Linked DNA regions of Rattus norvegicus. The protein of the gene in region 7 purifies or fractionates together with the protein of the main gene of each other region. This does not show direct contact. Links are inferred from orthologs where the notes say so. Each region holds a gene or a part of one and is shown on either strand. Other genes may lie near its edges.

The links.
Region 1: the proteins of Yap1 (region 7) and Runx2 purify together in Homo sapiens (affinity purification with western blotting; 4 studies listed by BioGRID and IntAct, with this or other methods). This does not show direct contact. The link is inferred for Rattus norvegicus from reciprocal best matches to the Homo sapiens genes YAP1 and RUNX2.
Region 2: the proteins of Yap1 (region 7) and Ywhae purify together in Homo sapiens (affinity purification with mass spectrometry; 8 studies listed by BioGRID and IntAct, with this or other methods). This does not show direct contact. The link is inferred for Rattus norvegicus from reciprocal best matches to the Homo sapiens genes YAP1 and YWHAE.
Region 3: the proteins of Yap1 (region 7) and Pdlim7 purify together in Homo sapiens (affinity purification with mass spectrometry; 3 studies listed by BioGRID and IntAct, with this or other methods). This does not show direct contact. The link is inferred for Rattus norvegicus from reciprocal best matches to the Homo sapiens genes YAP1 and PDLIM7.
Region 4: the proteins of Yap1 (region 7) and Ctnnb1 purify together in Homo sapiens (co-immunoprecipitation; 11 studies listed by BioGRID and IntAct, with this or other methods). This does not show direct contact. The link is inferred for Rattus norvegicus from reciprocal best matches to the Homo sapiens genes YAP1 and CTNNB1.
Region 5: the proteins of Yap1 (region 7) and Phgdh purify together in Homo sapiens (affinity purification with mass spectrometry, with the first as the bait; 4 studies listed by BioGRID). This does not show direct contact. The link is inferred for Rattus norvegicus from reciprocal best matches to the Homo sapiens genes YAP1 and PHGDH.
Region 6: the proteins of Yap1 (region 7) and Wdr5 purify together in Homo sapiens (affinity purification with mass spectrometry; 3 studies listed by BioGRID, with this or other methods). This does not show direct contact. The link is inferred for Rattus norvegicus from reciprocal best matches to the Homo sapiens genes YAP1 and WDR5.

What each region holds. Positions count from the first base shown.
Region 1 is NC_086027.1:23,663,558-23,667,857, forward strand, and holds the start of Runx2 (runt-related transcription factor 2), read left to right. Parts: upstream 1-1,500; 5' UTR 1,501-1,504; coding exon of another isoform or gene 1,505-1,905; coding exon 1,906-1,963; intron 1,964-4,300. UniProt on the Homo sapiens protein: Transcription factor involved in osteoblastic differentiation and skeletal morphogenesis. Essential for the maturation of osteoblasts and both intramembranous and endochondral ossification.
Region 2 is NC_086028.1:61,081,507-61,085,733, reverse strand, and holds the start of Ywhae (14-3-3 protein epsilon), read right to left. Parts: upstream 2,801-4,227; 5' UTR 2,685-2,800; coding exon 2,621-2,684; intron 1-2,620. UniProt on the Homo sapiens protein: Adapter protein implicated in the regulation of a large spectrum of both general and specialized signaling pathways. Binds to a large number of partners, usually by recognition of a phosphoserine or phosphothreonine motif.
Region 3 is NC_086035.1:9,142,632-9,145,456, reverse strand, and holds the end of Pdlim7 (PDZ and LIM domain protein 7), read right to left. Parts: exon of another isoform or gene 1,565-2,825; intron 1,332-1,564; coding exon 1,211-1,331; intron 1,108-1,210; coding exon 992-1,107; intron 838-991; coding exon 751-837; 3' UTR 501-750; downstream 1-500. UniProt on the Homo sapiens protein: May function as a scaffold on which the coordinated assembly of proteins can occur. May play a role as an adapter that, via its PDZ domain, localizes LIM-binding proteins to actin filaments of both skeletal muscle and nonmuscle tissues.
Region 4 is NC_086026.1:129,531,076-129,534,575, reverse strand, and holds part of Ctnnb1 (catenin beta-1), read right to left. Parts: intron 482-3,500; 5' UTR 434-481; coding exon 421-433; intron 121-420; coding exon 1-120. UniProt on the Homo sapiens protein: Key downstream component of the canonical Wnt signaling pathway.
Region 5 is NC_086020.1:188,618,290-188,621,789, reverse strand, and holds part of Phgdh (D-3-phosphoglycerate dehydrogenase), read left to right. Parts: intron 1-3,388; coding exon 3,389-3,500. UniProt on the Homo sapiens protein: Catalyzes the reversible oxidation of 3-phospho-D-glycerate to 3-phosphonooxypyruvate, the first step of the phosphorylated L-serine biosynthesis pathway.
Region 6 is NC_086021.1:31,234,607-31,238,545, reverse strand, and holds the start of Wdr5 (WD repeat-containing protein 5), read right to left. Parts: upstream 2,801-3,939; 5' UTR 2,520-2,800; intron 1-2,519.
Region 7 is NC_086026.1:13,399,438-13,402,937, forward strand, and holds part of Yap1 (transcriptional coactivator YAP1 2), read right to left. Parts: intron 639-3,500; coding exon 457-638; coding exon of another isoform or gene 445-456; intron 1-444. UniProt on the Homo sapiens protein: Transcriptional regulator with dual roles as a coactivator and corepressor. Critical downstream regulatory target in the Hippo signaling pathway, crucial for organ size control and tumor suppression by restricting proliferation and promoting apoptosis.

The DNA.
Region 1 (4,300 bases), on a different chromosome or scaffold from region 7:
TATAATGTTTGTTGAAAAATCCTCCATCGCTCCCAACTGATGAAAACAGGAAGCTCTATTCATAAATGTGAAATTCACTGCCTATGATATATAATCATCCTAATAAGAAAATGAGCTCTAGACATACATGTCCAAGAGGGCAAAAGAAGAGATAGTTTCCCAAAGATGGTTTCAATTTTCTTCTGAATCAGAATTAGCAAATCGAGACGACTAACATACTCTGTCTGCGTGCATTATTCCTTACTACACACAGCATTTTGTAATTTATTTCAAAGCTTCCATTATAAACAAAAAAATACAGTTTCTGTTAACCCACTCTATTCTGAACTATGGAAACTACTGAATATCTCATTATATATGCAGAGCTGAAGCCCAAAGTCCTGTTACAGTCACTTCCAAGCGGACTAAAGAATCATACAAAACGTTTCTTTTAGAGATAAAATCCAGTCATGCAGAAAATTAACACTATTCCAACAACCTGTATCCTGCAGGTCTTGACATTTGTTTTTTTTGGGGTTTTTTTTGTTTGTTTGTTTGTTTTTTAAGATCTTCAAAGTAACCAAGGGATGATGGTAAAAATAATATAAATGATACTAATTACATTTAATCTTTATTGTAAGAGCTACCACCTAATAAAAAAATCAACTACACAGTCATGATTTAGTATTTGTAAAGGAATCCCCAGGCTAACACTTTTGTGACAGCCAATTACAGTCAATCCCGGCAAGGAGTTTGCAAGCAGACCTTTGGAAAGGTAAACTGTTTTACAATGAGTTACAGATCTACAAGCTTAGGAAGACAAGCAGGAAAGAAGCAGCCACCCTGGGAAATCCGAAGCAGCCCTGAAAGTGATACAATCCCAAGATGTGACCCACTGCGAAGCAGCAGTTGTTCAGAACGCCGCACTCACTTGAAACAGTTTTGCTCACTTTTCCATAGACATAATAATGAAGGAAAGAGAGGAGGGGTAGAGAAAAGAGAAGAAAGAGCAGACGAGGGAAGGAGGGAAGGGGGGAGTAGGGAGGTGGTAGAAAGGAAAACCCTTAGCTGCAGAGTTCTGCTCTCCAAGTGCTTAACCTTACAGGAGTGTGGGCTCCTTCAGCATTTGTATTCTATCCAAATCCTCATGAGTCACAAAAATTAAAAAGCTATAACCTTCTGAATGCCAGGAAGGCCTCACCACAAGCCTTTTGTCAGAGAGGGAGAAAGGGAGGGGGAGGAAGGGAGAGAGAGAGGAAGGGAGGAAGGGAGAGAGAGCACCCATAAGTAAAGAGACAGAAGGAAGGGAAGGGAGAGGACAACAGAAGAGAAAGAGGGAGGGGAGGGGAGAAGGAAAAAGATTGAGAAAGAGGGAGGGGAGAGAGAAAGGGGGAAGCCACAGTGGTAGGCAGTCCCACTTTACTTTGAGTACTGTGAGGTCACAAACCACATGATTCTGTCTCTCCAGTAATAGTGCTTGCAAAAAATAGGAGTTTTAAAGCTTTTGCTTTTTTGGATTGTGTGAATGCTTCATTCGCCTCACAAACAACCACAGAACCACAAGTGCGGTGCAAACTTTCTCCAGGAGGACAGCAAGGAGGCCCTGGTGTTTAAATGGTTAATCTCTGCAGGTCACTACCAGCCACCGAGACCAACCGAGTCAGTGAGTGCTCTGAGCACAGTCCATGCAGTAATAGTAGGTCCTTCAAATGTTTGCTCACTCCTTTTTGTTTTGTTTCCTTGCTTTTCACATGTTACCAGCTACATAATTTCTTGACAGAAAAAAATAAATATAAAGTCTATGTACTCCAGGCATACTGTACAACTAAAACAGGGACTGGGTATGGTTTGTATTTTCAGTTTAAGGCTGCAAGCAGTATTTACAACAGAGGGCACAAGTTCTATCTGGAAAAAAAAGGAGGGACTATGGCGTCAAACAGCCTCTTCAGTGCAGTGACACCGTGTCAGCAAAACTTCTTTTGGGGTAAGTGCTACCTTATTTTAAGTCCTTTTTTTCTGTGAACCTGTTGAGTGTGAAGGTACAAGGGTAGTGTGCTGCGAGCTCTCCTAGGTCACAGTGTGTGAAAGATCATGATGATGCTATTTTCTCTCACTAGAAATTGAAAAGTGAAATTGCTGTAAATATTAGTACTTGGCATGTGTAACTAACTCTCAGGGTAATGGCTTGAAATAGACAAAATTAAATGAGCTCATGTTAATCAAAATGTTTTCCAGTGTAACAGAAATAAGGATGTTAAAAACAGTGAAAGCTTAATATTCTCATGAACTTCCCTAGAATAAAACTGGATGTTGAATTAATCAAAGTATTGTTAAGTTATTGACTCGGCAGCTCCCTGTATTGAAACAAATTTCCAAAAGGAAGCAATTTTACAAAATAGCAGACCACAGAATTATTGAAACATTGTGGTCTACCGTGTATGACACAGGAGTAAACCTGAAGGAAAGTTAGCCTTTTCAGCCGCTCCACTGAAAGAATTCTCTCTACGGCTTGAAACTATGTCTTTAGATATCTCTATAAGCCAGTTTCTAACAATCTTCTGTGACTGAATCAGACATGCAACCAGAAGAGAGGCATTCCCAGGACACCAGAGCTGTTCTGAAAAGATCTTCAGTGCTCAGGACACTGAATGTGCATGAAGGTGAACTTTTCTAATAAGTTTACGTTTAATTTTATATCTGCACACTATTGCTCCCACATGGAACTTGCTACAACATACAGCAAACACTGAAACCTCTAAGATTCTTTTGAGCACATTCTTAGACCTACCAAAATGAATACCGTTTTTAGTCTCATGAAAAATAAACTCCACAAGGATACCCTGAAGGATTTAAAAGAGCCATGCCGACGAAATCATGCTGGACTTTTAAAACAAAACAAACATAATGCAGTCTCTTAATATTAAATTTTCTGCAAGTGCTGATTCACATATGTAAATGTTTCAATCCTCATCAACTGTCATGCGAGTGCAGTAAAATGTCCACTTACATGATTCTCTTTATGATATCCAACATGTCCAAACTACACAGCAGATTTTAAAGACTGGCTTTTTGGCTTTTAAATAAATCCTTGGCTGCAGAATCTTCAAACTAGCGATTGGAGTTCCCATTACTCCTCCTCCTCCTTCACACATCTTAACTGGGTCCTAGGACAGGACTTGTCTTAGCTTAATTCAAAGAGAAATAATTTAACCTAAAAGAAGGAAGGTGGTCTCTTAAAGGGTAAAGAAATTTACTTCAGGTTTTACTTTTAAAATAAAGAGAAATTGCTATAATGACTCCTACAGCAATCAAAAGTAGGTCATCTCAGTTACAATTTATGCAATGGAATAATCATAGATTAATTTGTAATTTCAATAGTGGGCATAAGCATTACTATTAAAAGCTTTGCCTTTAGGAGGCAGAAAATAACTACAACTAGAGTGCACCATATCTCAGGATAGTCCACATTATATACACAGTTCACAAAGGAAATGTCACTGAGAAACAAGAAAAACCTACGTTAAAGCTATTGTTCTGTGGAGAGATTACTTGGGGGCGGCGGCAGCGTGCAGTTAAGAAACATTTCAGACCTGGAGGCAGATCTGTCACAAAGAAAGTGTTGAAATGTCCTTGCTCTATCATACAGGAGTAGCAGTGGGTCTTAAAGTTCTGTGACACTCTTAATGACTATTGTATATTAAAGTTTCCAAGATCTGACCAAGTTTAAGAGTTAAATCAAGGCCACCTTCTAGAGCATGGGGGCTCTTTTTCACATTCTAACCAGGCTTTCTCTTCTAGAAGTGAGTCTCACCTTCCCTGCCTCCCCCTCCTCCAAACAGTACCTTAGGACAGGTTAGAGAACTTAACTCGAGCCTCCTACACCAGACTAATTACAGGCGAGGCGTGGACAATTGTTCCAGGTTATCATCACGTCGCATGTTTCCCCATCCCATAATGTTGGTGAGGCTCAGACCTCCCTTCAAGGTTACACTCTGACAGGGCTCAGCATAACCGCCTAGTGCGGTGTCCTCAATACATGCGCCAATTTTGTGAAATGGTTAAAGAAAGTTTAGGGAAGGACAAAGCATGCACTTACTGAGTATCTCGACCACTGGGCAGGAGGGAGGGAGGGTGGGAGAGAGCGAGTGGAGAGATGAAAAGAGAGTCTCAGTGTCCTTGATCTCTGCTACTTTAATCAAGACTTCCAATCTGTGCTACTCAAAACCATTACTTAATATGAATCAATCCTGTTGAAACAGAAGATTGACTCAGCAAGTATCTTAGCATTAAGGACTCGTCTGTGAAATCACATAAGCTGACG
Region 2 (4,227 bases), on a different chromosome or scaffold from region 7:
TCTACTGATTCCCTTTTCTTACACCAAATCACAGGAGTGCTTCCTATTTCCTTCCCTCATCTAGTGTCTGAAAGGGGCCAGTCACCACATGGCTTTTCTACAACACGACACTCAATAGCCAACAAGGCCAGGCTTTGGTCAAAAATCTTCATCATTCAAACCCCAAGTATGGTTTAACTTGTCATTTATTTGGAAATACAATCTTATTTGCAAATCCCTTTTTAAAATGACTTAGAAACGAATCAAAAAGCTTCCCCATACCTCCTTTTTTTGGGGGGTTGGGGGTATCATATTTACATAAAGCCTAAATTACCAGAATGTAATTTCACATTTCCTCCCAAGAACACAAGGGGGGGGGGGGCTCTTCTGGAAGGTGAGAGGTGAAACCTCCACTACAGCCAACTCTCCTGGTTCAAAACACACTACAGATAAGGCTCACCTGGAGCTGCAGTAGTATTCCCCGTCCCACCTCCTCCAGCTCCCAACCGGAGCCTAGTTCAGTACAAACTTAAATCTGCAAGACAGGGGTTGGGGATTTAGCTCAGTGGTAGAGCGCTTGCCTAGGAAGCGCAAGGCCCTGGGTTCGGTCCCCAGCTCCGAAAAAAAAGAACCAAAAAAAAAAAAAAAATCTGCAAGACAAAATTTAGTTCATCATCTTTCCTAAATTGGAGGTTTTGAAGCCTGCTGTTCTACTTTCCAAATGCTGGAACAGTGGTGACTTTGGCAAAGACGTATGACTAGTTCAAAAGTCACCACAGGAGAAACTGGCATTCAAGGAAAAAGGGCCTGACCTAGCATTTGAGAAGCAAATGGTTTAACTTGGAAAAAACATGAGGAACACTTAATTCCAAAACTTGTCTCATTCGACCCTACCACTCCCTAAACATTAAACTCACAGGACCCAGTCTTAGTGTTCATTCCTTTAATCTCGGGGGGGAGGGGGGGAGCCTGGGAGGGGGAGGGTGTCAGGAGAGATGGATCTCTGGGAGTTCAAGACCAGTCTGGTCTACATAGCATGTTTCAGAACAGCCAGAGCTACACAGCAATTAATTAAATCACAGGAACCATGTGTGTGACTTTTCATTTTTAAAGACTAGCTTAACGGCCTATTGCCTAACTCCAGTTATCTAGTTACAAAATTAGAATTTTGTACCTAGGCTACACAAGCACAGTAGATGTCAATGAAATTCTCAAAAATGACTGAATTCAAATTAGCAGGCGCTAAGGATGTAGCTAAGTTGAGAGGAGAGCACTCATCTAGCACATACTAGGGCCTACGTTCCATCACCGGGAGGTGAGGGGGGTGTCAAATGAACAAAGAGTAACTACTGAAATTTGTACATAAAACCATTCACTTAAAATAGATAAAACAGAGCTGTGGTGTAGCACAATATTTGAGCACTTGTCTTGCCTGCATGCAACCCTGGGATCGAGCCTCACTCATGGAACAATGAAATCATAAAACAGAAAGAAAAAGAAAAAAAAACTACAATCTTCTACATTCCTAATTCAAAATCCCCAAGCCCCAACTGAGTGCTCAAAATAGGTAAGGATCCCCAAGCCAAGCAAGAACATGCATTCCAAACTTAGGTTGTCAACCAAACGTGTTACTAAACGTTATTTGAATTAACTATTTCTCAACAGGTCTATGTTTCATAATGCTAAGTGTGAATAGTAAAGTCTTCAATTTTACAAACGGGTAAACTGAGGCACTGGCACTGCAAAGGGCAATCAGTACTAAGGAGTCAAGGCAAGCCTTGGCCTCCTGTATTCTTATCCATCAGAACTCCATGCTTGTGAAGGTTGGGGGTTGGGGGGCCAAACGCAGGAACTTTGGGATATCCGGGGTAAGAACAAACGGAGCATGAGTGAGGTTGTGCACCTCCCCGGAAGAAGGTGAGGCCGAAAACCTCCCCAAACCCTCAAATCCAAGGTGTGTCGGCCAAAGGGAAGAAATCCAATCGCAGCATCTCAGCTTGCCTCCACCCAAGGATAGTCTGCAGTGATTTCCAAACACTCCACCCTCACCAAAGACTACTCTCCACCACCGGCCCAAAGAAGCCGTCCGCTCCGGAGGCTTCTCCTTTGTGAGGCTCCACAGCCGCCGCCCCACACTGGGCCTCCGGGGAAAAGCCACCGCCCCCACCCGCCATATTTCCCTGAAAGGCGCCGGAGCTACAGCTCCTAGATTCCGCCCTCTCCCGAGTGACCCGTGCTATTTCTCACACCACCCCACCCAATTGTCCTCCACACCCCGCCGCAATCCCGAAACCTCCCGTGGGGATTGCACGGCGGGAGACGGCACTCGCCATCTCCTCCCCCTCCCCCGCCCGGGGACTCGCCCTCCCCCTCCAGCCGCCATTTTACAACCAACTCCTCCACCCTACACCCCGGCCTGCTGGCTGGCGAGCGTCTGCAACCTAAGGACACCGGAGGGGTCAAATTCCTAGGCCCGGAGACTCCCACCGCTTCGGGAGCCCGCAGGCCATTTCCTGCTTCCCGACCCACGTCCCAAGCCAGGCTCGGAGACGATGCCGCCATTTTGTCTCCGGTTCCCGGCCTCTGTGGGCGGCGGCGGAGGGTCCGAGACTTCCAGCCCCCCGACACCCCCACAACTCACCGTCGTATCGCTCGGCCTGCTCTGCCAGCTTCGCCTGGTACACCAGATCCTCCCGATCATCCATAGCGGCAGCGGCTCCGGCAGGGTCTGCACGACGGATGGAAGCGGATAGCGTCTCCGACTCTCTCAGCTTCTCGCTCCGCGTCCGAGCAGTAAAAATGGCGGCGCCTCAATCCGGGACTTCCGCCTGCGCACGCGGACAACTGCTCAGCTCTATGGCAACCGCTCCCTGGCAACTGGCGCGGGGGGGCGGGTCCGGGAGTTCGGCGCCAGAAAAGGCTGGAACCTGCACGACGGACGCCCCTCCTCCGTCAGCTCAGCGGGCGACTCTGCGGCGAGGCGGGAACTGCGACTGCGACAGAGAGCGGCCCCTGGAGCGGCTGGAGGCAGGTCGGCTTAGACTGCGGGAGGGGAGTAAACCAGAAGCCTGTGCTAGGCAACCGCGGGCTGGCCTGTGGGCGACAGAGCAAGAGGCTTTATGAATTCTTGCTACGGCAGGCCTTCCTCATTGAGATCAACCTGCCCTGTGCACTCTAGCACATTTTTCTCATCCGTGTGCCCTTTTCAGGTCCTTTGAACCCCTAGGTAAAGAATTGAGAAATGAAGAAGGGAGAGCTCGAGTTTTCACGCATCACCATCTCTCTTGCTCACACACTGTAAGCACTTTCTTCTCCCCCTCCAGCTGTATTTTTATCTCTTTGGCCTATCATAGATAGGACTTTTGTTAAAAAGCCTCTGTTTTTGACTCATGTGCGTTGGTGCGTGCGTTTAATCCCAACACTAAGGAGGTAGAGGCAGGAGGATCGAGTTTGGATCCAGCCTCATCTACAAAGCAAATTCCAGGTCAGCCTGGGCTACATTGTAAAAAACCCCCATCTCAAAAATAAACAAACCACACAGAAAGGAAAGAGAAAGAAAAAGTGATCAATCTAAACTAATTAAGGGAAACCCTCACTAGAGGGAAAAAAGACAAGAAAGTGGCTTGCCTCATTCGGAGTGCAAGGTGCACCTGAGTAAGGGCAAATTGATGTGGATGAGTTAGAAATAAAGAATTCTCGCCGGGGCTGGGGATTTAGCTCAGTGGTAGAGCGCTTACCTAGGAAGCGCAAGGCCCTGGGTTCGGTCCCCAGCTCCGAAAAAAAAAAGAAAAAAAAAAAAAAAAAAAAAAGAAATAAAGAATTCTCAATGGGAATTGCTTCATTTGCAATGGCCATGCCTATTCTGCTTCCCAATGGATTTTCAACATCTTATACTCAATATCTGCTTGCTGCTGAGCCATGCAAGAAAAGGGCCTCAAAGTGTGAAATAGAAAGGTTGGGACCAAATTACCGTAGGCCTGAGGTCACAAGCTGAGAGGCTTGCATCTTAGCCTATGAACCGACAGGAATTGTCTTGTTCAAGTGCGGAGACTGACCCCAGAGCCTCGAGCATGAGCTTTACCACTGAGTTATAGTCCTAGCCGGGTAAGCCGTGTTTTGATGATTCTGAGTGGAAGATGACATCATCATAATTATACTTAAGAAAAGTATTACATATTTGCTGAAGTAGTGATTCACGCCTATAATTCCAGCACTGTGGAACCAGAAACAGAGGGATTGCCACAAGTT
Region 3 (2,825 bases), on a different chromosome or scaffold from region 7:
ACCTGGTGAGGTGGGTGGGAACATCATGAGTAAGCGGTCTCCGGTACAGAAGAAGATGCCTAGCAACATTGTCAGGGATCCTGGGACTCAGCCCTGGATCCTTTCTCCAACACTGTCTTTCCCTGGCACCTCTGTGTCCACACTGTCCCCCGGATATTCCAGATCCCCATCTAGGCTTGAGCCCAGCACTCCGGGTGCCCTCCTCCCAGTGTGACCCTCTTTCCACTCTACTTCTCTAGGTGGCGGGTGGTGGAAGGCAGCAGGTGTCTCACCTGGCAGCCATGTCCTCCCTCCACCCACAACTCCTACTAGTGGCTTCCTTCACATCCCTGGGCAGTAAGCCCCAGGCATGGGGTCCACAGTATACTCTTCCCAGTGATCATGAAGCTTCCACAGCCCCAGGATGAAAAAGCTTAGCCCCAAGGATGACATTTTAAACCCGCATCCTCCTCCTACCTCAAGTCCCACTATTCCTGATGCGAACGGGGAGGCGCACAGCACACAGCTACATACAGGTTTATTGTGACACCAGAGTGAACTGGGGCTAGGAGGCTAGCACCTGTGAGTGACGGTGGTGGTGGTGGAGGAAGTGTGGGAAAGGGGACTGTGAGGAGGGAGCCCCAGGATCTGGCCAGGAGCCAAGGCTAGGACAATGGCTGCCAGCCCCACCCAGAAAGGTCGAGGGAGAGAGAGCTCTCTCATTTTATCACCCTTCTGGCAGAGTAGGGTGGCAGTAGTGTGAGGAGGTGCTCATACGTGGGAGAAGGCATGGCTCTTGCACAGGGGCTTGTCCTTCTTGGAGTAGAAGGTCTTTCCTTCCAAGTTGATTTGACATATCTGAGGACAAAGACGGTCCAGTCGCACGAGGCTGGGGAGGGTGGAGGAGAGCCCTTCCCCAAGCTCTCTGATATCCCACAGGCAGTGGTACAGGTATGGGGTGGTAAGGAACAGGGGACACAGAGTGGGAGGGGGAGAGGAGGGAGGTGCTTACTGCGCAAACAAAACACGTATCATGCCAGCTGAAACCCAGGGCTTCCAGGAAACGGTCCCCGGCATCGATCTTGAAGTCACAGCCGCGACACTTTGTGCCAAACATCTTCTCGTAATCTGGTAACAGGGACAGAAAAAAGGGTCTGCACCCGCAGGCGCCCCCACCGCCCCGCCCAGTCCCCCCCTCCAGTCCTTCTGCCTTCTCTAGGCCCCGCCTCACCTCGCTCGCAGTAGGGAGCCCCCTCCTCCATGTAGAAAGCCCTGTTGCGGATAGGGGTTTTGCAGGCTGCACAGGTGAAGCAGGGAACATGCCAGGTCATCTTCAGCGCATGCATGATCTCCTGGAAGAGGCCACAGTCGGGTTCAGCCCATCCCGTCCCTGAGAACAGGGGAAGGCTGGCACGCCCCCCCCAACTGCTGTAAAACATTCCATCTCCATATGCACAGATCCCAGAGCTGCATGGGCAACCACAAGTTCCTTAGCATCAGGTCTCCAAGACTTCCCTTCTCAGACCTGCTCCTCCCACAGCCAACAGTCAAGACCTCTCCATCTGCTCAGACCAAAACCCACCACTTTTCTTTCTTTTGTTTTCTTTCTTTTTTTTTTTTTTTTTTTTTTTTGAGGTAGTCTCTTCTAGCTCTGGCTGGCTTTGAACCCCTGATGCTGGTGCTCCTCACTCCACTGCTGAGCTTTTCAGGTCTGTGCCACCGTGACTCAACACTCCCTCTCTCCCCCATATCCTTTAATCAATCAGTAAGTATCGAAGGGTCCAACTTCAAGACGCATCTGGCCAGGTGACAGCTTAAAAGCCTGCAGGGTAGAGTTCAAACTTGGCCCACGTAACTTATGAAGGTCGTGTCTTTAAAAGGCCTGTGCAGGACCCAGCAGTCTGCCCTGTTCTCCCCCACACCTCCACCCACCATCGCTCACATGTTCACACCCGTGTGCTCTCTGCTCACCCAGATAGATCTTCTCAACCTTAAGGCTTAAGTGTCTGTATAATTGTCACTTTCTCCACAGGGCCCACTCTGACACCAGTGACTACTTTTTTTTTTTCTTCTTTTTTCTTTTTTTTTCGGAGCTGGGGACCGAACCCAGGGCCTTGCGCTTCCTAGGTAAGCGCTCTACCACTGAGCTAAATCCCCAGCCCCACCAGTGACTACTTTAAGCCACGTCTCCCTCCCCTCCCCACCTCCAATCCTTCCTAGATGTAGGAGACATGAAGCGTCCACTGCTCTATGAATGGATCTATTCCAACAGTGCCTAGCCCGCTGTGGGTCCTCGGTGGATCTGGCTCTACTGGAGGAAGCAGAGGTTCAGGAGATGACCTCTCCCCAGGGAAAAACAGCCATTCCTGGAACTCATAAAGGTCACCAGGGCTGGAGACTGTATGGGGCACCTGGCAACAGCCTTATCCTCTTGTAAAGCCTAACTACCTATCTTAGGACTCTAGTACTCCAATCCTGGGCCGTTTCCAAAATAGCCCAGGTTTGCAGTCAGGGACCCAGGTGGGGTATTCGGTGGGCCCAAGTGGAGCCTGCCTCACTTGAGGATTACAGGTTCACTCCAAATGACTAGAATACTTAGGTTGAAACCTTTTGTTTTTCCTGGTGCTGGTGACACCTCATAGACGCTAGGTAAGCCCTGAACCATCCAGCTACACCTAGTTTGGATTTGTAAAACATGCTACTGACTCAGAAGACAAGCGTGGCCATGCCAAACATAATCTTGGGGGGCATCCTAGCTCTGGGATGAACCTGGATGTCATTCCCCTCCCCCACAACCCCAAGAGCAGCTCCTTGAAGCTCATCCGACCAGCCTTCAGCTCCTAACT
Region 4 (3,500 bases), about 120 Mb from region 7:
AAGGAGCTGTGGTGGTGGCACCAGAGTGGATTCCAGAATCCAGGTAAGATTGCTGCTGCCAGTGGCTGACAGCGGCCTTTCTGTCTGGCTCCATGGCCATGTCCAACTCCATGAGGTCAGCTGCAAAACAGTGTTAATGCACTGAGAATGCTGCCTGAGTACGACGTCAGCGACGGGACCCGCTGTGACCTGCTGAACACTTAGAAAGGCAACCGTGGGGAGCAGGGTGATGCCAGTGTGAGCCCCATGGAACAGGTATGAACTTGGACTCCAGAGTCACCCACCCACTAGATCCCATTGGGTGGCTTGTTGATTATGTCACCAAGCCAGTAGCCAGTGTGCAAGAGCAGCAGGGGCTGAGGCAGACCCCACCCCACACAGCAGGAAGGAAGCAAATCTTCGTTGAGGAGATTCACAAACCTTGAGTAGCCATTGTCCACAAAGCGGTGTCACAGCAGTTGTGCGCTGAGCTTCAGATACCCTGAAAAGATTCCGTCATCACAATTCAAGTCGTCACAGTTCAAGTCGTCACAAGTCAAGCTTGATTTTTAACCTGTCACTGTGATTCTGCTGCCTGTTTAGGCTCTGGCTCCTCCCACCCACACCTCACCCAAGTCAGTTCATCATGGCATCCACTGAAAATTCAGACGAGCCACAGTTCCATCACCACTGGGCTCTTCTCAGCAGAAACAGAGTGTGGACACAGGTGCTGCTAGAGAATGGCCTCTCTCTAGTGAAAGCCAAGAGAGCACTAGTTAAAATCCAGCTGCACCACCAACCCTGAAGGCTGTGCATGGGTTCAGGATGCCTGGAAATCCCAGCCAGGAGGCAGTAGATTTTTTTTTTTTTAAAGAAAAACCACCAAATTTTTATTAAATAAACCCACGGTTTTTCCTGATATAGCACAATTACCAGATCAGAATGGTGGTTTATGCAGCTTATTGAAGAAGCAGAATATCTTTAAGTCAAAGTCTGAAGTACAAATGGAAGTCCCTTGTGATGAGGTTTGCCTAAGTTCGCACAATGTTGTCCGTGCCACGTCAGCTGGTATAGACAGACGCCCCTGCCATCAACAGTGGGACGTCTTCCACTGGCGAATGTTAGCCTAAGTTATGTCTTCACTTTGACCTTACTATACAATATTCAAGAACACTACTAAGTTACCAAGGATGAAATGGGAGCTTAAGGCTCACGACCTCTAGTACTCTGTGAACAGACTCTTATTATTTTTTTTTTTCTTTTTTCTTTTTTTCGGAGCTGGGGACCGAACCCAGGCCCTTGCCTAGCAAGTGCTCTACCACTGAGCTAAATCCCCAACCCCCAGACTCTATTATTAATGTCTGCCCCAGCAGGCAGCACTACAGCTAACAACAGCAGCAAATGGATAAAGACACAGAAAGGACCTCTAGGTATGGCTACATTTTCAATTCATGCAATGGTGTTTTTCAACATTTAATGAAGTGAGAAACCCCACCATTGACCGATGTTTAAGTAGAGAGAACACACCGATCTTTTCCTGTTTTCTGAGAAACTGTTCACTCTGAAGCCCAGGCTGGCACTCTGCCATGCTCACCCTCCTGAGCTGGGATCACATCTGGATTCCATCACTCCTCCGAGGCTAATGTAAGCAAGCTCAGGTTGGGCCCTTGCTTCAGGGTCCACAGTACAAAGTGACACTTAGCTGTCAAAGGAGGGGACCACTACCTCAGAGCCTTCTACCCTAAAGTGAAAAACAGAAAAGTTCTGTACAGTGAGCACAGCTCTCCATCTTTAACCAACAATGATGCCCACTCCTGTGTGGAAAAGGGGTGTGGCCTTGCTTTGCTGCCTTCCCCAGCCCTCAGGAAAGTGCAGGCTCACTGCAGTTTTGCAGAGGGGACTTGAACCCTGTATGTATCTAGCACTTCCCTCATGTGGCCAACACAGACAGGCCTGGAGACTAGGCGGTGCCACCACCACATACAGGCAGAGCCCTGTCCCTGCTTCCTCCTTAGTGTTGCGGGACCCAAACACTCACCATCTTGCCTGGTGTATAAGCTGACCTGGTTATTTGGAAGACAATATATAATAATTTTATGTGGGAAAAGATCATGTTCTAAACTCAGTATCTGCAGATGTTAGAGTCCTGAACACAAAATCCATTAGCATCCAGTGTTAGCACCTAACAAAGCACCCTATGCAGTACATAAGAATCATCCCTGCTTCTCACAGAGGCCCTGTAGGGTAGAGGAGGAGGGTAGGGAGGTGGGTGGAGGGCAAATGTCAGCAACAGGGAGATGAAAACAGGATGAAAGAGAGCTGACAGCTTTAAGTAGCAATATGCAGGTCAAAGAAAGATCCAAAAATGCAAGAATTCTAAGCATTATTTACCAAAACAGCAGCACGGCCCTGGGAAGTCCACCCAGAAGTGCAGCAGGGAAGGCCTGGCCTCAAAGGAAACTTTTCCTCAGCAGAGGCTTCAAGCCAAAGGCTGCTTTCTCCCTTCTAGGCACACCCTGCCGATTTCTTAAGGGACCAACCTCATAATTCCTGGGAATCAATGCTTTCTAACTGCCACTGTGGGAGATTCTTCAATGTCAAAAGAAAAAGGTCAAGAAAAGCAAACTCAGTAAAAACAGACAGTGCTTTTAAAATGGGGGGAAGGGATGCCACAAATACTTTAACCTGGTACCCCCATGAAACTTAGAACCAAAAATGTTAGGTTAAATATTAACCAAAGTTGCAAAATCCTCCTGAAACACTGAGGGAGAGACCTCAAACATAAGAGAGGAAAATGGTAATGGATCCAGGAACCAAGTCAAGGTGTTTCAGAAAACCAACCACAGTATGAGGAGGACCTGTGTAAGTGTTCATCCAGGTGGCAGTAACCAGTGACAGACACTGCTGTGTCTGCAGTCTCTAGGCAGGGCACATGTGGGACTCACAGTTTCTCTCGCATCTCCTTACCCAGTCTAAGGAATCTGTACAATTTCTCTTTGGTTTTTTTTTTTTTCCTTCTTGCTCTCTAAATGTATTTTCCAGTTATCTATGAGCTCAAAGATCACGTGACTTTATCTGTAAATTCCTCTTGTAGAACTAGTATAGATTTACATTAAGGTTCCTTTCCAAGTTCCCATCAGGGATAAAATTGCCTTATTCACCTTATAAGAATTTTGAATTAGTATTAACTATGATTAAGATCACTGCATAAAGCACACACATTATAGAACCACACACCAACAATTCACTTTCTAAAAAATGTGTACTAGAACAAATCCAATTATTTAAAGAAAACACTACTCTAACTATGGAATGTCATAACCTTTGGATTTATCTCTAGGAGTTAAAAATTGCTTATGGTCTAAGAAGAAATTTACTGCTACAGTGCTGCACGTCGGCCATTTTAACCACGAGCACCAGGACACAGTGAAGACCACAGAAGAACTGAGCCCTGCCTCCTGCTCTTGAGTGGTCAGTCAGTCCTTCCTCGTGTGCTTCTTTTACTACAAGAACACATTAAC
Region 5 (3,500 bases), on a different chromosome or scaffold from region 7:
CTTACGTGCCCTGTGCACTAAGTGTTAGCAATAAGAGAATTACCTACAAGGCCAAGCCCATCCTCTTGGGAAGGAAGCATGTATGAACTTGAAGAACAAGAGTAGGGATAGGTTTCTACTGAGTTAGCATAGGTTTTCTGGAACAGCCATAAATTAAGCAGATCAGTGGCCTGCTGTTTCCCAGCTCTGAAGCCTGGGAGTGGGACTGGGAAAATTTGTAGGCAAATGTGGAGTGTGCGTTCCAGATGAAATGCTAGGTGCTTGTATTCCCACTTGGTGAATGCTAGAGAAGAAAGAACAGGCACTGGGGTGTGAGGGGTAGGAGTAGAGGATTCAGTTTTGAGAGCCCTGAAGGTAATCTTGCCTTTGCTCCGGTGTCGGAGCACTGGGATAGAGTCCTGGGATGACACGTATGCATCATGCATGAAAGAGAGCGCTCTAATCCCAGCACTGCACTAGGAGTTTCGTTAGGTGTGAATGTTTGTGTTGTTTGTGTAAGTAGAGCAGGGGAGGAGCACCCTGGAGGAGTCTTTGAGGGATGAGCTATGGTCCTAGAGAAGGGACCAGGAGTGCAGGGGCCTGAGGGCTCAGCACAGGGTGGGTTGGCCAGTGGCCTCAGTAAGTTTGTAGTGAACACACTGAGGAAATGGCGTGTAGTTGATGTTGTAAGAGACCTTGGAAGCTAGCAAATTCTGACCAGTGTTGGCTCTAATGTAGGTCCTGGGCCCTTAGGACCTACCAGCTTTGGAAGCATGTCTGTGTCTGTCTTACTGGAGACGCTAAAGGTTCATCAGCGTCAAAAGCGGGCTGGGGCTGGAGGGTGGAAAGTATAGTTCCAGGGTGAGGACCCCACAAAGCAGACTCGGCTGCTGGTGAGAAAAAACAGCACTGTGGCTGAGGTGTCCTTAGGGGCTGTGAGAGACGCAATTGAAGTCCCTGGTCCTCTGCAGCTGTTGTTTCCTGTGGGGATCCCCAGAGCAGTGATTGGACAAGGACCTGGGCTTGGGATCAATCAGAGAAGAGGGAAAATGGTTCCCCTCTCCCTATCTCCCTGTGTGTGAGAGATTGACGGTGCAGGGAGAGGCAGGGCATAACCTTCAGATGTCAGTTTTCCCTTCCTCTGAGGGATCCTGGGTGCAGGATCCCAGGATTCTGCAACAGGTGTTGTTGTTGTTGTTGTTGTTGTTGTTGGTGGTGGTGGTGGTGGTGGTGGTGGTGGTGGTGGTGGTGGTGGTGGTGGTGGAAGAGGTGGTGGTGGTGGTGGTGGAGGTGGAGGTAGAGGTGGAGGTGGTGGTGGTGGTGGTGGTGGTGGTGGTGGTGGTCCACCAGTCTGAGCCACCTCACCTGCTCAGATCTGTGGCAGTCCTCAGGCCCCTCCCACATTCGAGGTTTATAGCGGTGAGCCCTGTATCCAGGCGACCACACACTCTCCTCGCATTCAGGGGCAGGAGGGTCCTGGCACAGGTCTGTGCTGGCCGATGCGTTCATGCTTGCTTTACTGAGTTCTTTCTCTTTAAAAGACTTTGGAGAAAAGTGCTCAGTTTTGATGATGTGTGGGATTTTCTTCCCAGATCAAGGCCGTTTGCCTCTAATTCCTTCTATAAGACCTTTTTTTCTGTGTAGAGGTTTAAATTTAGAATGTAGCCATTTTCTTAGGGTTTCTGAAATGCGTGTGTCTGTTATAAAAGGCTTTGTCATTCTAAGATTGTAAGAAAACCCAATATACATATTTCTTCCTTGGGTGCTTTAAATTTCTTTAGTTCACCTCTTGATCCAAGCTGTTATTGGCTGTGCCTCTCAGGAAAGCAGTTGGCAGATTTTGGTATATCTGTCATTGAACTTTAAGATCTGGAAGGTTTCTTGGTCATTGTACCTACCAGTGACCTTAGCCAGAAGGAAGAAAGGAGCTGGAAGCCGGGGTGGTGAAGGTTGACTGGTTTGTAGAGGTGCAGGTGTGGTGGGGCATGTGTTTCTCATTTACAAAAAGGAGTGTGAGACACAAGTGAACACTTTTTTGGAGTCTCCTACTCTGTCCTGTCTAAACCACACAGCCACCTTCCGGTGGCTGGCCTAGAGCCCTCCAGCAGGCACAGCCCCACCCAGTCAGGATGCCTGAGGCCTAAACAGCTGCAGAGAATTGATTCTGGAGCATAAACAGCTGCAGAGAACTGATTCTAGAGCCTAAACAGCCACAGAGAACTGGTTCTAGAGCCTAAACAGCTGCAGAGAACTGATTCTAGAGCCTAAACAGCCGCAGAGAACTGGTTCTAGAGCCTAAACAGCCTCAGAGAACTGGTTCTAGAGCCTAAACAGCCTCAGAGAACTGGTTCTAGAGCCTAAACAGCCACAGAGAACTGATTCTAGAGCCATTCCCGTTGGGTTTTCTCTTTCTCCTTCTTTTTTAAAGGCAAGGTCTTTTGTGGCCTGGCCTGGCCTTGAATTCTGTCATTGCCACAGATTCTACAACTGCTCTTGAGCAAGTCAGCCCATCCCAGTGTTTAAGCCACTCCTCCCCCAAGCCTAACTACCCCCTTGAGCAGCCCAAACTTCATTCACCTCCCTTTTCTGAGCAGAGATAAAATAGTTCTGTTCCCTCAGCTTTTAACTACTCCACACTCGTTCCTCCATCCCAGGCTTGTGCACAGTAAAGGCAGCATGGGCCTCACACAGACTCTGAAGCTCACAGCTCTCCCTCCCTCCCTTCCTGTGCGTTCTCGTCTCAAGAACCATTTTCCTTTCAGCAGGTCTTGCCTTCCATTCTGCTTACTTATTCAGCCAGCCAGCATTTACAAACTGTCTTCCTTCCATGTGCCTGCCCGAGGGACTCAAGGAGTGAAACTGGGTCCTGCATCTTCACTTTAGTGTCTCAGTGTCCAGTGGAAGAAGTGATTGGAACAGGGCGGAGTGTTAGACCTGCCTATCCTGTTTCCTTCTCACATACCTGAGGCCGGAACCTACATCTCTCTCTGATAAGGGATGCAGCTTAGAGGATGCAGGCCAGACTACAGACATTGCTGGTTTTCCTTTGGAATTCACCCACGAGGCAAGGCAGCATACAGGAATGTTAGTGTGTACAGAGTTGACTAGGGCATGAGTCTGCTCACACTAAGGTACTGTCAGGATGGGCTGTCCTCTGGCTCTAGGTCCTTATCGGGACACCAGCTATAGAAAGATGGATCAGATGCCTAGAGCCAGCGAGCTCTTGCTATAGTTGGAGTGTACTGACCAGGTACTGCTCTCAAATGCTCTAGTCCACGTTACCCTACAGCGTGCAAAGAAGCCAGACCTGCCTGTGAGGGGGCATTCATGCCCACCAGGAACGCAACAGAGGCCTCAGGTACATTACAGAACAACAATATGAACCCTGGTATTGTCTTCCTCTGCCCAGGACTGTGAAGGCCTTATCGTCCGGTCAGCTACTAAGGTCACTGCTGATGTCATCAATGCAGCAGAGAAGCTCCAGGTGGTGGGCAGGGCTGGTACAGGCGTGGACAATGTGG
Region 6 (3,939 bases), on a different chromosome or scaffold from region 7:
GTGGTACACACCTTTAATTCCAGTACTCGGGAGGCAGAGGAAGGTGTATCTACAAGTTTGAAGCTAGCCTAGTCTAAAGAGTGAACTCCACTCTCTTGCTCTCCCTCCTTACTCCTCTCTCCCCATTCCCCTCACCCTTCTCTCTCCATGTGCTCATGGCTGGCATCCCTCAACTCTATCTCTGCCTTTCTCGGTCTCTGCTACCCTCTCAACTCCCCTCCCATGCCCTGAATAAACTCTACAATATACTGTTGACTGTTGTGTGGCTGGTCCCTCAGGGGAAGGAATGTCTCCGCATGAGCCTGCAGAGGCACCCCCTCCCCCCACACCATTCCCTCACACCATATCTCTCCTCCACCAAACATATTCCTTCTCTCCTTATTTTTATAAAACACACGCACAAAAAAGGCATACTCTGTGCTGTGTTTTATAAAAAGATAAGAGAGGAAGGAATATTAAAAAAAAAAAAAAAAAAAGCGTGAACTCCAGGACAGTCAGGGCTACACAGAAGAAATCCTGTCTCAAAACAACAAAAAGGTTCTTGGGACTGAGCTGTTCATAGAAGAGTGTTCACCTAACATGCATAAGACCACCTCACCCCCCCACAAAAAAACAGTGACTCTAGGGCTGGAGGGATGGCTCAGTAGTTAAGAGCACTGACTGCTCTTCCAAAGGTCCTGAGTACAAGTCCCAGCAACCACATCTATAATGAGATCTGATGCCCTCTTCTGTGTGTCTGAAGACAGCTACACTGTACTCAAACAAAATAAAAATAAAAATATTCCCAAGAAAATGGGTAAAAAGGAGAACATGACCGCAGCACTGAACCCTACAACAAATAAACTGCTCCAAGCTGGGGATAACTGTACCGAGGCTGCAGCTTCAGGTGCTCTGTGTGATGGATGGTCTACTCTTGAACCTTCTGTGAGCCTAAGACTTAAGCTTCAAGAAGGCTTCCCACTGCAGTATACAGATGTGTACCGGAATGTGAGCTCTGCTTCAAAGATTCCTTGATACAGTTTTTTTTTTTTTTCTATTCTTTCGGAGCTGGGGACCGAACCCAGGGCCTTTTGATACAGTTTTTAAAAGGCTTTCTAACAGAAACAACAGACCAAGTGACAAGAGTAGACCTTCTGTGCAGAAGTTTGGAAACTCAGGCAAATTCTAAAATACACCCAAAGAATTTGAGGAAACACAGGAGTCTTGTCTGTACCTGGTGGCCTCCACCTCGGCTCCCTTTGACCTCACAGGCTGCAAACTGCCTTCTACAATGCTAAGAGCGTACAGAGCTCAAGGACTCTTGCACAGAGTACTATAAAAAGAGCTACAAGAAAGAGTACAGCAAAGTAGACACCGCCCCCATATGAAACCTCCCAGGAGGAGTAGCAGGAAGAACATCAGAGAAACTGCACCAGAAGAAGCTGCAGAGCTGAGGGAAAGCAGTTACTCCCTTCAGCAGTGCAACTGCAACAACTTCCTACAGTTTACAGGCCATCCCGTGACTGGGAAGTGAGTTAGTGCTCCTCCAATGGAGCGCTCCTAAGACATGCAAACATCACTGGCCATCATGATCCCTCAGCCATCAGTGTAAGGAGAAATCACGATGCACAGCCTAGCTTTGAGACTAAACCTGACACCTCACACAGACCCCACGGGAGACTAAGAGGAGACAACACCAAAAGAGACCAAAGCCTCAGTCTTCAATCCTAGGAAGGAACAGTAACACCCACCACACAGGGCACAGGTGTAGCCTGCTCCACCAAGGTCAAATTCTGCTGTAGCTCAAGCCCAGGTGCAAGGATCCAACTAGGGGTAGGTCCCCTGCCTGGGTCCCTCCACAAAGCAAAGCTCTTGTGCCCAGGAAATACCAGCTGCTTGGTGTTTTTAGCTTTTTGGAGACAGGGTCTTGCTATGCACCAGTATTCAAAATCCTGCCTCAATAGCCGCAGTATGGTTGGTGTAACAGGCATAAATCAACTCCCAGGCCTGACCTGAAGCTGCTTAACGCAACTATATGGCCATGAGTTCCCAGAGCCAACATGTTTGTGGATCATACAGGTAGCAAGAGGAGCTGAGAAGATGTTAAGTAATGAGATAGAAAGTCCTACCACATCTCCCTGCTTCAGGGAAATAAAAGGCCAAGGGAGCAGGGCAGATCTCTGGGGTAGGAAGTCTCGAGGAACTAAGCAGTGTCTTTTAGCATATAAAGAGATTCACCTAGCCTCGGGTGAATGGCCTTGCAAAACAAGCACGAGGATACCCAACCCTGCCCATCCCATCCCACCCTTTATAAACTGATTCTTTCAGGAAGCCAAATATTAACATATGAAGACACTGGGTGTGCACCACACTTTGATCCCAGCTCTAATAAGTTCACAGCCCCAAACAACCAACCAAAAAAAAAAAAAAAAAAAAAAAAAAAAGGAAAAAGAAAAGAAAGAACATTAGCATTAGCCAATCTACCTCGCAGCATTCAGGAGGTTCGGGAATTCATAGTTAAATGTGAAGCCAGCACCAACCTGAAACCGTCTCAAAGGAAACCAATTTCCAATTCCACTGGGTAGAGTCCAAGACAGAGAGCACTCAGGTGTTCTGTTTTAAGGTCACCGGAAAGCAGGACTTGAAGAGGACAGCTCTGGGAGGGAGGTGTGTTAAGCAGGATCCTCAGCAGGTGGTTTGGAGCTGGCCTCCACGGCCCACAAAGGAGGCAGTTAACTGGCAACCGCAGCTTTACACTACAGGGAACGTGATCATGGAAGGGCAGCAGCCATCAGTCTCCCTCCAATCAAATGCAGATTCCTTGTTTCCGCCTTAGACACTGAGTACACAAGTATGGGAAGACAGAATGGTCCAGTCACTCAGGTGAGTGCAGTAGGTAACCCAACAAAGAGCTCCAACCCATCCTCTCTGGACTACTGGATACCCCTAGGTCCTAGTACCATTGGCTTCACACCACTGTACTCTCAACTGCCTGGCTGACCCAGACAGTGCTCAAAACCCACTTGACCAGTCAGCCCTCGTCAGGTAGAAACTTGCACTAGGACACGGGTGAAGGTTGTGGTGGCAGCACGAAAGCGCCAAGTGGCCAAGGAAACCTGAGAGATGCTAGCTGGGTGTCCCCACTCCCAGGGACGCCAGCCTGAGGTGTGAGCCACGAGGAGCTCGCAGGGCTACGGGTCTAGGGGCGCAGCAGGGGCCGCAGTGGAAGTAGCGAGCCGTGGCGGCCACAAGGGGCGGCGGGGTCGGGGCGCGGCCACAAATGCGGCGCCGGGCCCGGCCGGAGGCCCACGGAACACGTGCGGCGCTGTGGATCCCGAAGCCCGTGGGCCCTCGTGGTCGCCGCCCCCCTCGCGCCCGCAGGACCGGGTCACTCCCTTACCTGCCGGGGCCGGGGCGGCGGGGCCGGGCGCTCTGGCGTCGCCTCGGCTGGCCCTGCGCGCGAGAGCAGACGATCTGGTGGACCAGTCGGCCGCGGCGCGGGAGGCGGGAGGGATTGCGCGTGCGCGAGGGGGCGGGGCAACGGGCGGCGACGAGGGTCAGAAAAATTAGAGGAGACGGAGCGCCTTAAAGGGCCCACCTATGATTCTTGCTTCCTATTTGACCGCCACTAATTTTCAGTGCCTGCAGACCGGAACTCTCTGCAGTTAAAGATGGGTAAAAATGTGCTTATGTGCCTTTCCTGTTAAATTCCAGGCTATGTCGCCAAGCTAATAGCAGCTTGCCTGTCGTGGCCTGTGCCTGCCCTGGACTCTAGGAAACCCTCTTGGTGCCACTGGTGGACGTCCACGAGGTCCGGAAGTCCGGAGCGCCTGCGGTCTCCCCTGCCTACCGCAGGGCGGGGGCTTCCTGCCACTGCAAACCACAGCTCAAATTGAACATACTTGCCTCTCTTCTAAGCTGGGCCACAAAGAGACTCTGCTGTGCACCCCCACACTCAGA
Region 7 (3,500 bases):
TAGTCCAGAGTTCTACTTGCCAAGCTCTCAGAAACAATGTCTGCAATTGGCCTGCACCTGGGAAGAAGCATTTTTGCCCAACTGCACTGACAACTGCCCAGTACTTTTCTTTTTTTCTGTTGAAACAGGGTCTCATGTAGCTCAGGCTAGCCTTCACATTATAATGTAGCTCAGACTGGTCTTGAGCTCCTAATCTTTTTGCAATGGCCTCCAAAGTTCTGGATGAGAGGGAGAGGTGTGCCCCACCACTCTGGATAATAAATACAGCTCTGTATGATGTAGGACCATGAATTATAATGCATATGAACCAAGGCCAGTCAAGGAACAGGACAAAAGCAGGCCTGCTTTCACAAAACCAACATTCCTTGGCAGCTGACTAAAGCTACAATGAAAAGCACAGACTTTTGGAAGGGGAAGCCCGGAAGACAAAGGCCGCGCTCTAACCTGTGGTCTCACCTGCCGAAATAACTCCTGCTGTTTCAATCGCAGCCTCTCCTTCTCCATCTGTAGCTGCTGCAGCTGTATCTGCTGCTGCTGGTTTGAGCTGCCTCCACCCAGGACGCCTCCCTGTGGGCTCTGGGGAGCCAAGGGTGGGGGCTGCTTCACTGGAGCACTCTGAGTGATCCTCTGGTTCATGGCTGAAATGAAACAAAGACTGTCCTGAAAAACTCAAGCATGCAAGGGGATAGCCAGTCAGCTAGAAATCCCTGAGAAGCTACCATAGATGTGATGACTGTGACCCATGTCCATCACAACTGTTACAGATCCCGAAGGCAAAAGGAACTTGGGTAGCATCAGAGAACAGGAACCAAAGTGGCAAGCTATACAAATAGAGTTAAAGGGCCTGCAAAATGCTCAGCGGGTAAAGGTACTTGCTACCTAAGCCATATAACATGAGGTGAATCCATGGAGGCCACATATAACACAGAATTCAATAGCATACATCTGTAATCCTAGCACTCCTGCTGTGAGATAGAAGGCAGAAGCAGAATCCTCCGGAAGCTGGTGGGTTCAGAGAGAGAGGCCTTTCACACAGAACCTTCAGGGAGGCACACACACACAACCAAACCACATTAAAACAAAATCGGAGAGACTTTCTACAAAGGCTACGAATCAAATCATCAGCTCATCAATGACCACTTTCTGAAGAGAACTCGACCAACAAAATAACCAATCCTGACTACTAATTATTCCCATGCAGTAAATGTGCTAGAGTGACCTGGAGTGTGCCCCTTCCCACAGAGCCTGCAAGCAGTTTATTGTTGTTGGGTTTGCTGTAGTTTTCTTGGCCTGGTTGTCTTTGGTTTAGGCAGGGTTACATTCTATAGCACAGGCTGGGCTGTCACTCACCGCAGCTCCAGCCTACCTCAGTCTGTAGTGAGCCTCCTGCCTCAGTTTCCCCAGTGCTGGGATTGCAGAAACAAAACATCACTCCCAGCCCAATTTGTTTTCACCAAGTATGTTTTTTAGTAACTCACTTAATCTATTATTACCAACGACGACGACAATCTAGTGTAAAACGCAGTCATTTTCTGTTTTTTAATACAGGAAATGCTTATGAGACTTAGGCTGTGTTTTGATGCTTGTATCTCATAATCCCAGAACTTCTCAAAATGAAAGGTCATTTTCTAATAACACTATTCATCCATTTATTGAATAGTTTTTAGATTAATTTTATTTTTGTTTTGTCTGCATCTATGTCAGTGTGCCACATGTGTCCTGTGCCTGTGGAGGCAGAACAGGGCACTGACACCCCCCACCCTCCACCCCCGGAACTGGGACTGCTGATGGTTGCGAGGCAGTGTGGACGCTCGGAATCACACTTGGTCCTCTGGAGAGCGGCAGGCGCTCTCACCCCGTGTCATCTGTCCAACCACTTGTACTCCTTCAATTAATTATAACTAAAGACACTTTTCTTCCCAGTGGGTGTTTGCTCTTGGCCTCAGTTCTTAAAAATAGTTGTTAAGATTATCTTGGGGTACACATACATACTGAGGTTACAGGGGAACTTGTAGGAGTTGATTGTCCTTATATGTGCTTCAGAGATCAGACTCAGGTCATCAGGTTCTGTAGTAAACACCTTTCCCCCTGAGCCATCTTGCTGTCTGAGGCCTGGGTTTTGACTGTACACAGTGCTTCTCACAACAGTCCTCAGGTCGTGCTCAGCTTCTGCTGTGCTGCTTCTCACGGTAGTATTCACGGAATGTAGAAATGTACTTCCTGTTCTCTTGGAGAGCCTGTAACATGCCTCAAAGGAAGGATCCACTGGTTAACTCTGCCACCCATCTTTGTGCCTTTATAGAAAAGATGAAATCTTTGGGAATTACAGAAAATCTTAGAAACAGTGAACAGTTTGATCAAGTGGGAAAATGGAGAAGGAGCGTATATATAAAGGAGCCAGTGTTTACAAAGCACTCTTTTTAGGAAGGGAAAGGTATGGTTTTTATACAGCACATATGGAAACAAATTGAACAGAGTGACTTACTGAGTCGGTGTTCTCATCCGTATTCTTCCCCATTGATTGGCGATTGGAGGTAGGTGTGAGGAGGTGTGAGCTACACAGAACCTGTCTATTACCTATGTTGGTGAAAATAATTTTATTAAGTAAGGTATTGGAGCTTGGCAAATCTTCAAGCTATTAGCTTCTTTCTTGTCCATGCCCCAGGAAAACGTTTAAATAATTCTCTTTTTAGAGGATTTTAAAAAGGTATCTATATATACCTGGCTGTAAGTGTACATGTGTGTACAGGATATAGGAAGACTTACAAGGTCCTCTGGAACTGCAGTTAAAGTTGTTGTGAGCCGCCACAGTAGGTACTGGGACTGAACCCAGTTTCTCTGGAAGAGCCGTGACTGCTAAGCCAGGTCTCTAGGCCCCCATTTATCCTTAAAGGAGTGTTCTGTTGTGTGGGAGGTGAGCTGGCTTGAGGAAGGCTGGGGTAGTTGATTGTGCTTTGAGCTTCTTTCTCTGTTCCCAAGACAACATAGTAAACAAGATAACTAAGAGCACATCACTGGGACACATCCCCACTGGATGGAAGGTAAAAGGAAGAAAAAAGGAAAACGTTGTTGGAATCTGCTAGGTGGAAAGGCTAGATCCCCTTGCAGACCACTAACGTGTATTAAGATGATGAGGAACTGAGAGGTTTGGGCAGTGTTATCATGGCTTTGTGTGAGTGTACCCCAAGACACTGTATGCATGATAAATATAATCTTAACAACTATTTTTAAGAACTGAGGCCAAGAGCAAACACCCACTGGGAAGAAAAGTGTCTTTAGTTATAATTAATTGAAGGAGTACAAGTGGTTGGACAGATGACACGGGGTGAGAGCGCCTGCCGCTCTCCAGAGGACCAAGTGTGATTCCGAGCGTCCACACTGCCTCGCAACCATCAGCAGTCCCAGTTCCGGGGGTGGAGGGTGGGGGGTGTCAGTGCCCTGTTCTGCCTCCACAGGCACAGGACACATGTGGCACACTGACATAGATGCAGACAAAACAA